Linked DNA regions of Arabidopsis thaliana. The protein of the gene in region 2 interacts with the protein of the main gene of each other region in a biochemical or structural test. Each region holds a gene or a part of one and is shown on either strand. Other genes may lie near its edges.

Region 1 (4,411 bases), on a different chromosome or scaffold from region 2:
CCAACAAAATAACCATCTTCCAGCGGGTCGGGTTCACGGAGGAAGACATATACCCGCAATTAACAGAAGATAACATAATTGGGTCGGGCGGGTCGGGTTTGGTTTATAGAGTGAAACTCAAATCAGGTCAAACGCTTGCGGTGAAGAAACTCTGGGGAGAAACGGGTCAAAAAACGGAATCTGAATCTGTTTTTCGATCCGAAGTAGAGACGTTGGGTCGGGTCAGACATGGAAACATCGTGAAACTTCTTATGTGCTGCAACGGCGAGGAGTTTCGGTTCTTAGTGTACGAGTTCATGGAAAACGGCAGCTTAGGTGACGTTTTGCATTCGGAGAAAGAACATCGTGCCGTTTCTCCACTTGATTGGACGACACGATTTTCGATCGCGGTTGGTGCTGCTCAAGGACTTTCTTATCTACATCATGACTCTGTTCCGCCTATTGTTCACCGTGACGTCAAAAGCAATAATATATTGTTGGACCATGAGATGAAGCCACGTGTCGCCGATTTCGGTTTAGCTAAACCGTTGAAGAGAGAAGACAATGATGGTGTCTCCGATGTTTCAATGTCTTGTGTTGCTGGATCCTACGGCTACATTGCTCCGGGTTCGAATTCTTAGCTCTACAATATCAAATCGTTAAAACCCTATACGCAAGCGTTTTAGTAACATTACTGTTCTTCTGTGGATGCAGAATATGGTTATACGTCAAAAGTGAATGAGAAGAGCGATGTCTATAGCTTCGGGGTGGTTTTACTCGAACTGATTACGGGAAAAAGACCGAACGATTCGTCTTTTGGGGAGAATAAGGACATTGTTAAGTTTGCAATGGAAGCAGCTTTGTGTTACCCTTCTCCATCAGCAGAAGACGGAGCCATGAATCAAGATTCACTTGGAAACTATCGAGATCTTAGCAAGCTTGTTGATCCAAAGATGAAACTTTCGACGAGAGAGTATGAAGAGATAGAGAAAGTTCTTGACGTTGCATTGCTCTGTACGTCGTCTTTTCCTATCAACAGGCCGACCATGAGGAAAGTAGTAGAGTTGCTTAAAGAGAAGAAATCACTAGAGTGATATTAATCCTAGGCTTTTAATTATTAGGCTTCTATAATGTACAAAATCCGACTAGGATTGTTACTCATTATTATAGCCATAGGTTGGACTTTGCTTTAAAGTTTGGGTTTTTAGAAATTAAACTACTTAAAGTTTGAACCAAAAAAAAACAAAGGAAAACTACCTGAAAACTTTTGTTTTCTTGCTTCACAAGACTCTACAGACTTCAAATTTCATATATAAAAGGATAATTCAAATGGTTCCGGATGAAAATTTCCTTTTGTTGATGTTTTCAGTATAGTTATAGTCTCTTACTTAGTAAGTTAGGTTTATGGTTTTTATTTAATTATCAAATTCGTCACAACTTTGCTTTCTTAGATCCAAAAATTCGTCTAGCTATAGTTCAAATTGGTTAAAGCTGCTGATTCTCAGAGTTTTTTTCTAAATTCCTATGTCAGGATTAGGAAATAGCTTCAAGTAGTAGTTTTTGTTCGTCTGGCATGTAATTTCTGATTGAATTGTTATTTGTTGGTATGTTGTAGATCAAAGCGGATAAGGTGTATTCGATATGTAGACGAACTTTCACGGTTTTTAATTGGCGATATGGAGACTCTATTTTCACCTTTTTAGTGGACCAGGTTAGACAAATATACAAGAGCCTCTTAAAGAAAAAAATAAAAATAGTATTGGGCAACTTATAGGCCCATTATGTATATTAACAGGCCAGTTTCTCATAGGCTTTTGATACTTTCATGGACTCGAAAATTTAGGGTTTCAGAGACGACCACGTTACCACCGTCATGAAACCGCCAGTGACCGTAACATATTCACCTCTCGCATCTTCTTCTTCTTCACGGAGAAGCAATCGAAGAGAATCAATCAACTAGACAAAAATCGGAAGAAGAAACACAAACCGAGGTTTTAGAAACATGGCGTCTAAGGTAATCTCTGCCACAATCCGCAGAACCCTAACCAAACCACACGGCACTTTTTCCCGGTGTCGCTACTTATCAACCGCCGCTGCTGCGACGGAGGTGAATTACGAGGATGAATCGATTATGATGAAAGGAGTTCGAATTTCAGGTAGACCTCTTTACTTAGATATGCAAGCGACGACTCCGATTGATCCTAGAGTATTCGATGCGATGAATGCTTCACAGATCCATGAGTATGGGAATCCTCACTCGCGAACGCATCTCTACGGCTGGGAAGCTGAGAACGCCGTCGAGAACGCACGAAACCAGGTCGCGAAACTGATCGAAGCTTCACCGAAGGAGATCGTATTCGTGTCCGGTGCAACGGAGGCGAACAATATGGCGGTGAAAGGAGTGATGCACTTTTACAAGGACACGAAGAAACATGTGATAACTACACAGACTGAGCATAAGTGTGTGCTTGATTCGTGTAGGCATTTGCAGCAAGAAGGATTTGAGGTAACTTATTTACCTGTGAAAACTGATGGATTGGTTGATTTAGAGATGTTGAGAGAAGCTATTAGGCCAGACACAGGGCTAGTTTCTATTATGGCTGTGAACAATGAGATTGGTGTGGTTCAACCTATGGAGGAGATTGGTATGATTTGCAAAGAGCATAATGTTCCGTTTCATACTGATGCTGCTCAAGCTATTGGGAAGATACCTGTTGATGTTAAGAAGTGGAATGTTGCTTTGATGTCTATGAGTGCTCACAAGATCTATGGACCGAAAGGTGTTGGTGCTTTGTATGTGAGGAGGAGGCCGAGAATCAGGCTTGAGCCGTTGATGAATGGTGGAGGTCAGGAGAGGGGATTGCGTAGTGGTACGGGGGCTACGCAGCAGATTGTTGGGTTCGGGGCTGCTTGTGAGTTGGCTATGAAGGAGATGGAGTATGATGAGAAGTGGATTAAGGGGTTACAGGAGAGGTTGCTGAATGGGGTTAGAGAGAAGCTTGATGGTGTTGTGGTGAATGGTTCAATGGATAGTCGATATGTAGGGAATTTGAATTTGTCGTTTGCTTATGTTGAAGGAGAGAGTTTGTTGATGGGATTGAAGGAAGTTGCAGTGTCTAGTGGAAGTGCTTGTACTAGTGCGAGTTTGGAGCCTTCTTATGTGTTGAGAGCTTTGGGTGTGGATGAAGACATGGCTCACACTTCGATTAGGTTTGGGATTGGTAGGTTTACCACGAAGGAAGAGATTGATAAAGCGGTCGAGCTTACGGTTAAACAAGTTGAGAAGTTGAGGGAAATGAGCCCGCTTTATGAAATGGTTAAAGAAGGTATCGATATCAAGAACATTCAATGGTCTCAACACTGATTCAACAGTTCCACTCAAACTGTGCGGGACAAGAGGGAATCTCCAGTCTGTGGTCAGCCGGGGTATATGAGAGCCATACTGAGATGTGAGTATGAACGATGATATGATCCTGTGTTCTTACTATGTTCTGTTGGTAAGTTATCTATCTATATTGCTTTCTAGAGAGAATTGCATGTGAGAGTTTCTTGTGTGGTTTTGTAATAAAACAGAAACAAAGGTTCATTTCTGGTTAGATTGTGATATCCTTTGAAATTGAATGATTAATTTTTAGGTGTTGTGAGCTTAGCTTTTTTAGCTACGGTAATGGTGAAGTTTGTTTTGTTTTTCTTCTTATTTATGAAAATAAAATACAATTTTATGTGAATATTTTTTTTATTCCTCTTTTCTCACTCTCTAAAAATGTCGGCGAGTCTCACTAAGATGTTGAAGTAACAAAACATGAAATGAGAAATGAAATTAATGTTCTTACCTTCATGTTAAGTTGAAGTAGATCATAATTATCCCATGTGATTTGGTACCAAAGTTTTTTTTTTCAGATCTACGTACACTCGAGTCGACCTTTGCTATGAACTCAAATATGATCCAATAAAATTTTATATTCTTCTGTGTTTTTTTTTTTTGTATTCAAATTTGGATAGAAACAAGTATTTAGTAGGTCGTAGGTGCCATAGGTGGCCCTTGGGAAACATCCAATGGATACAAACCTCATATTATAAATTCTCTATGCCAAAATAATTAGGACCATAGGTTATGTTATGTACCTCAACCATCCTTTGATTGAGACATTAAATTCCTTCACGTTTGTAAACCACACTTTCGTATACATTTTCTTCCCTAACACTTCTTGGCACTGTTTCTTTTATTAATTTGATTTTTGAAACATATGTCAAAAGAAAAGAAAAGAATCGAAACATTTAATTAATTAATGTTTGTAATTGCACGTTGTACATTCATTACTTTTATAAAGAGACTGATCAAATGATGATTGATAATCCTTTTAGTGTATATTAGGCGTGTCAATGGTGTATATATTATATAGTGTCTATATGTCATAAGAAACGTCATAAA
Region 2 (3,900 bases):
TCAAGAACCGGAGATTCACGATTTGCAACCCAGACAACAGTCAGTGGATGTAAATTGTAAAACCAAATCCCTAAGTACCTTCTTTCGTCGGAGCTTCCATTAGGAGTGAAGAAGCCAAGCTCAAATCTCTGACCAGCTGAAACAAGAGTCTCTCCATGGCTGTCATTGATCAATGTTGAACCTTTGAACAATGTTTTGGAGTCTTGAACTGCAACAAAACAATCTAATCGACGAATATGCAGCAAAAACATATAGAAGAAGACAGAAAGAATCATTCTCTGACCAGTACTAGCTTTTTTTTACTCATCTGATATCTCCATTATTTCTGCTTAAGAACTCAACTCAAAACGTGTCTAACGAAAAAAGAAAAAGTTTGCCTCAACGTCAACGAAAGACCCACCTGAAAAGTAAATATGTGGAACGCAGCTAATCATGTGTTTTAAGATGTTTCCAAGAAAAAGCAGAACAAGTCTCACTTGAGCATCTGAACCAAAAGCCATGAAAGTAGTAGATACTATTTACACTCTCTTAGCCACTGTATGTAGATACACATGTGACCAATTCACGCACTTTGTGTCAACTTTTTCCGCGATGGATCTCTAAATAGTTCAAAAAGATCCAACATTTTTTGAATAATACGTACTTTTAGAGTATTTTTTGACAATGAGAGAGACATAGGGGTACCTAAACGTGAATTACTGGAAAAAGGGGACAATGATGTTGAAGAAGTCAATCTTTTGTCCTTATTGGTGCTTTCGAAGAAGTGGAGATTGACCCTGCAAACATTGTTAACCAACTTTTTTCCGAAATTATTGTGAGATTCGAGGAGTTTTGACAAATGTAGGACTTTTGTCGTTCAAAAGAAATGTTTTCATCTAAAACGCGTAAACCTGTAAAAGGCAGCTTCAGCTCTGATTAAACAAAGAGACTTGCAACAATGTCACTATGAGACATTACTGTTTAAAAATAGATTCAGAAACACTAATCAGTTTTCACACTAAAACAACTTTGTCTTCTGCCTTGTTTGTTTATTCCTCTGGATGTTTCATAGATATACCTTTAACAGGGTATAGCAGTTTCAAGTTCATAGATGAAACCCTTTCGCTCACAAATATTGTTTTAAAGCCTTCTTTATGAGAGTTGGATTGGTTCACCACATAGATTCTCTAACTCCTCTTCCAGGAGTTTATGCAACTTTGCTTCAGTTCGCCGATATATCCACGCATTAGCATCACGGTCCCAGTCAAATCTAGAAGGGCCACTGCACCGAGACAAAAGGAAGAATGAAGATTACATTAATGTGAATCTAAGATGTGGAAGCACAAAGTCAAGAGCAACAACACTATACAGTCATAAACAGTTTCATTTCTCCAAATATCATGAGTACAAAAATCAGAAGAGAGAGCAGAACATGATAATCCAGATGCGAAATTCAATCTAGGCGCCTAAAGTTAGCAACTTTCAAAAGGCAAGAAAGAATCTTTACCTCACAGGTGAAGACATCCAGATTTGTCGATTTGGAGTTTGCTTATTCAGTACATAAGTGCCTAAAGATCCAAGCTTAAGGGTAAGAACTTCATTCTGTTGGAAACAGCCAAAAGGACTGACTATAATAAGTACACATAGATTTCCAGAAATATGAACAAGATCTTAAATTGCTTAAAAGAGTTTAATCCTTACCCCATAATCTATGTCGAAACCATCAATCTGAACATTATCACCATAATCCTGAACATGAATCATGCAAGTAGAACATAGTGTAAGCTATTGCAATCTCAAGTAAAACGAAGAACCCTAGAGAGAAAAAGGTTCCAGCTTCAAATACCTCAATTTTCTCAAGAAGGTGATTAATTGTGAAGTTGGCTAATTTGTGAAACTCTTCCTCCTGCAAAACCGAACTGTTTTTTTCTTCCACTTTGTTCATATTCTCATGAAATTAACGATTCAGATACAATAAAGGAGATCAAAATGGAGAATATTAAAGTACCTGTAATCGACAGAAGCAGGACCTTGAGAAGAGAAGCTTCTGGTAGTCAAAGAATCATGGCGGATTCGAGATCCTATTCTCCAGAAGGAATCCAACGGTTCTATGGAATCTTGAATCAGATTGCTTGAAACTCTTACGCCATTGCTACGGAGAAGAGTTGGAGACAGCTTGAGAAACCTCGGCAATTTCCGTAGAAGAAACCTTGAAGCTGTAGCCATGGCGGTTCTGTCACAAGAAACATTCGACGCCTCTCTTCTTCTTATTCCTTCGTTGTCCAATTTAGGCCCACAATAAGGCCCAAATTTAGATTTACCCGGTTCACGTATTTCCCATGTTCCGGTTTACTGAAACCGGTATGGTTCTCAAGAGATTTGTCATTTGTGTGCGAAGAAGAGTTTTCTTCTCCTCTCATAAGAAAAAACCAGAATTTTGAAGAAGGAGAAAGAAAAAAATCTGGGTTTTTGGGAGCTGATTAGGTTTTGTTCCTTCAATCTCTGGGAATTTTCGCTATGCACTCAGGTGAAATTCGTTTTTTCCTCTATTTCAATCTCTGTCTTCCTGCGAGTTTACGTGAGAGAATAGTTTTTAATGATCCCGAGTTCGTCGAATTACAATGCAACTCCCAGTTTTTGTAGTTTTAATTAGCGAAATTCATCAATGGCATTGGAAATTTTAAGCCTTTTTTGGTTTGTTTTATGGTACTACTAATTATTCAAGCTAAGGAATTCCAAAGTTTTCGTTCGTTTTGATTGGGTTTAGAAGTATTTGGCTGATGAGAGAAAGAGCCATAATTCTGAAATTAAACCCTTTTATGTGAAGCTTGTGTAGATGTTTTACCTGAATTTCGGAATTACTAGCAACATTTCTAAATACACAAAGCATGATTGTAAAATGAAATTGATTTTGGTCAGGGCTTTGCATCTCTTGGTTATTGAATGGTGTCCGTGTTTCACTATTATCTTCTTATGTTTTTGATTTTTATGTGCTATTTTCGATAGATTCAGGCGAAGCGACCGCTGATGGCGATAAAGCTTCTACAGAAAACAGCAAAAAACGGAAGCTTAAGACTCCTATGCAAGTTATGGCGCTTGAGAATTTCTACAATGGTAAATTATGGCTTTGTTGTTTGCATATGTTCCTTTATACCAAGTTGTATATGCTTTACAGGTGTGATTTGGTTTTTCTACAGAGCATAAGTATCCGACTGAAGAAATGAAGGGCAAGTTAGCAGAGGAAGTTGGATTAACTGAGAAGCAAGTTTCAGGTTGGTTCTGCCATAGAAGGTTAAAAGACAAACGTCATGTAAAAGAAGATGGGAATGCCATTGGGAGCCAAGATCGGTCAAGCGTTGTTCTTCAGGATCGTGGAAGTGGGCTTCGACAGGATTCATGTGGTAGTACAAAGCAAACGGATTATTGGAACCCCAAGCCTAGGGAAGTTGAAAGTCAAAGGCTTTATATGGGAAATGCTGATGGTGAAGATAGTACATCTTCTGATCGTAGCTCATCATTACGTAAGAATCTTGTCTCTAGCAAAGATGGAATTCGCGATGTGGAAAGTTCTAGATATGTTGCACATAAAGACGTTATTCAGCATCCTCAGTTCATGAGAAGCTATGGGTATAATAAGCCTTCGGGATACTTGAAAGTGAAGGGAGAGAGTGAGAATTTTGCTATCACTGCCGTAAAGAGACAATTAGGAAGACAATACCAAGAGGATGGTCCACCTCTGGGGGTTGAATTTGATCCTCTTCCTCCCGGTGCATTTGAGCCTCAGACTAATCCTATAGTTCACGGTGAGTCATGATAAAATGTTTCAACTTTACCTTTAATTTTCTGGTTTATGATGTTATGAGTATTGAGTAAGTGGCTCAGAGAAGCTAAAACCATCTTCTTCGTGTGTCAGATTGTGAA

Evidence for each region.
Region 1: the proteins of FH (region 2) and NFS1 form a complex in vitro, tested with the Arabidopsis thaliana proteins (one study listed by BioGRID).

What each region holds. Positions count from the first base shown.
Region 1 is NC_003076.8:26,294,368-26,298,778, forward strand, and holds NFS1 (nitrogen fixation S (NIFS)-like 1), read left to right. Parts: upstream 1-1,657; 5' UTR 1,658-1,690; intron 1,691-1,710; exon of another isoform or gene 1,711-1,822; 5' UTR 1,823-1,981; coding exon 1,982-3,343; 3' UTR 3,344-3,705; downstream 3,706-4,411. Other genes in the region: HSL2 (HAESA-like 2), read left to right, coding at 1-606, 694-1,073. UniProt on the Arabidopsis thaliana protein: Catalyzes the removal of elemental sulfur from cysteine to produce alanine. Supplies the inorganic sulfur for iron-sulfur (Fe-S) clusters.
Region 2 is NC_003075.7:1,422,554-1,426,453, forward strand, and holds FH (frataxin-like protein), read right to left. Parts: upstream 2,220-3,900; 5' UTR 2,206-2,219; coding exon 1,988-2,205; intron 1,899-1,987; coding exon 1,826-1,898; intron 1,729-1,825; coding exon 1,681-1,728; intron 1,582-1,680; coding exon 1,487-1,581; intron 1,262-1,486; coding exon 1,132-1,261; 3' UTR 685-1,131; downstream 1-684. Other genes in the region: AT4G03230 (G-type lectin S-receptor-like Serine/Threonine-kinase), read right to left, coding at 1-275; AT4G03250 (Homeodomain-like superfamily protein), read left to right, coding at 2,497-2,506, 2,986-3,093, 3,177-3,782. UniProt on the Arabidopsis thaliana protein: Promotes the biosynthesis of heme as well as the assembly and repair of iron-sulfur clusters by delivering Fe(2+) to proteins involved in these pathways.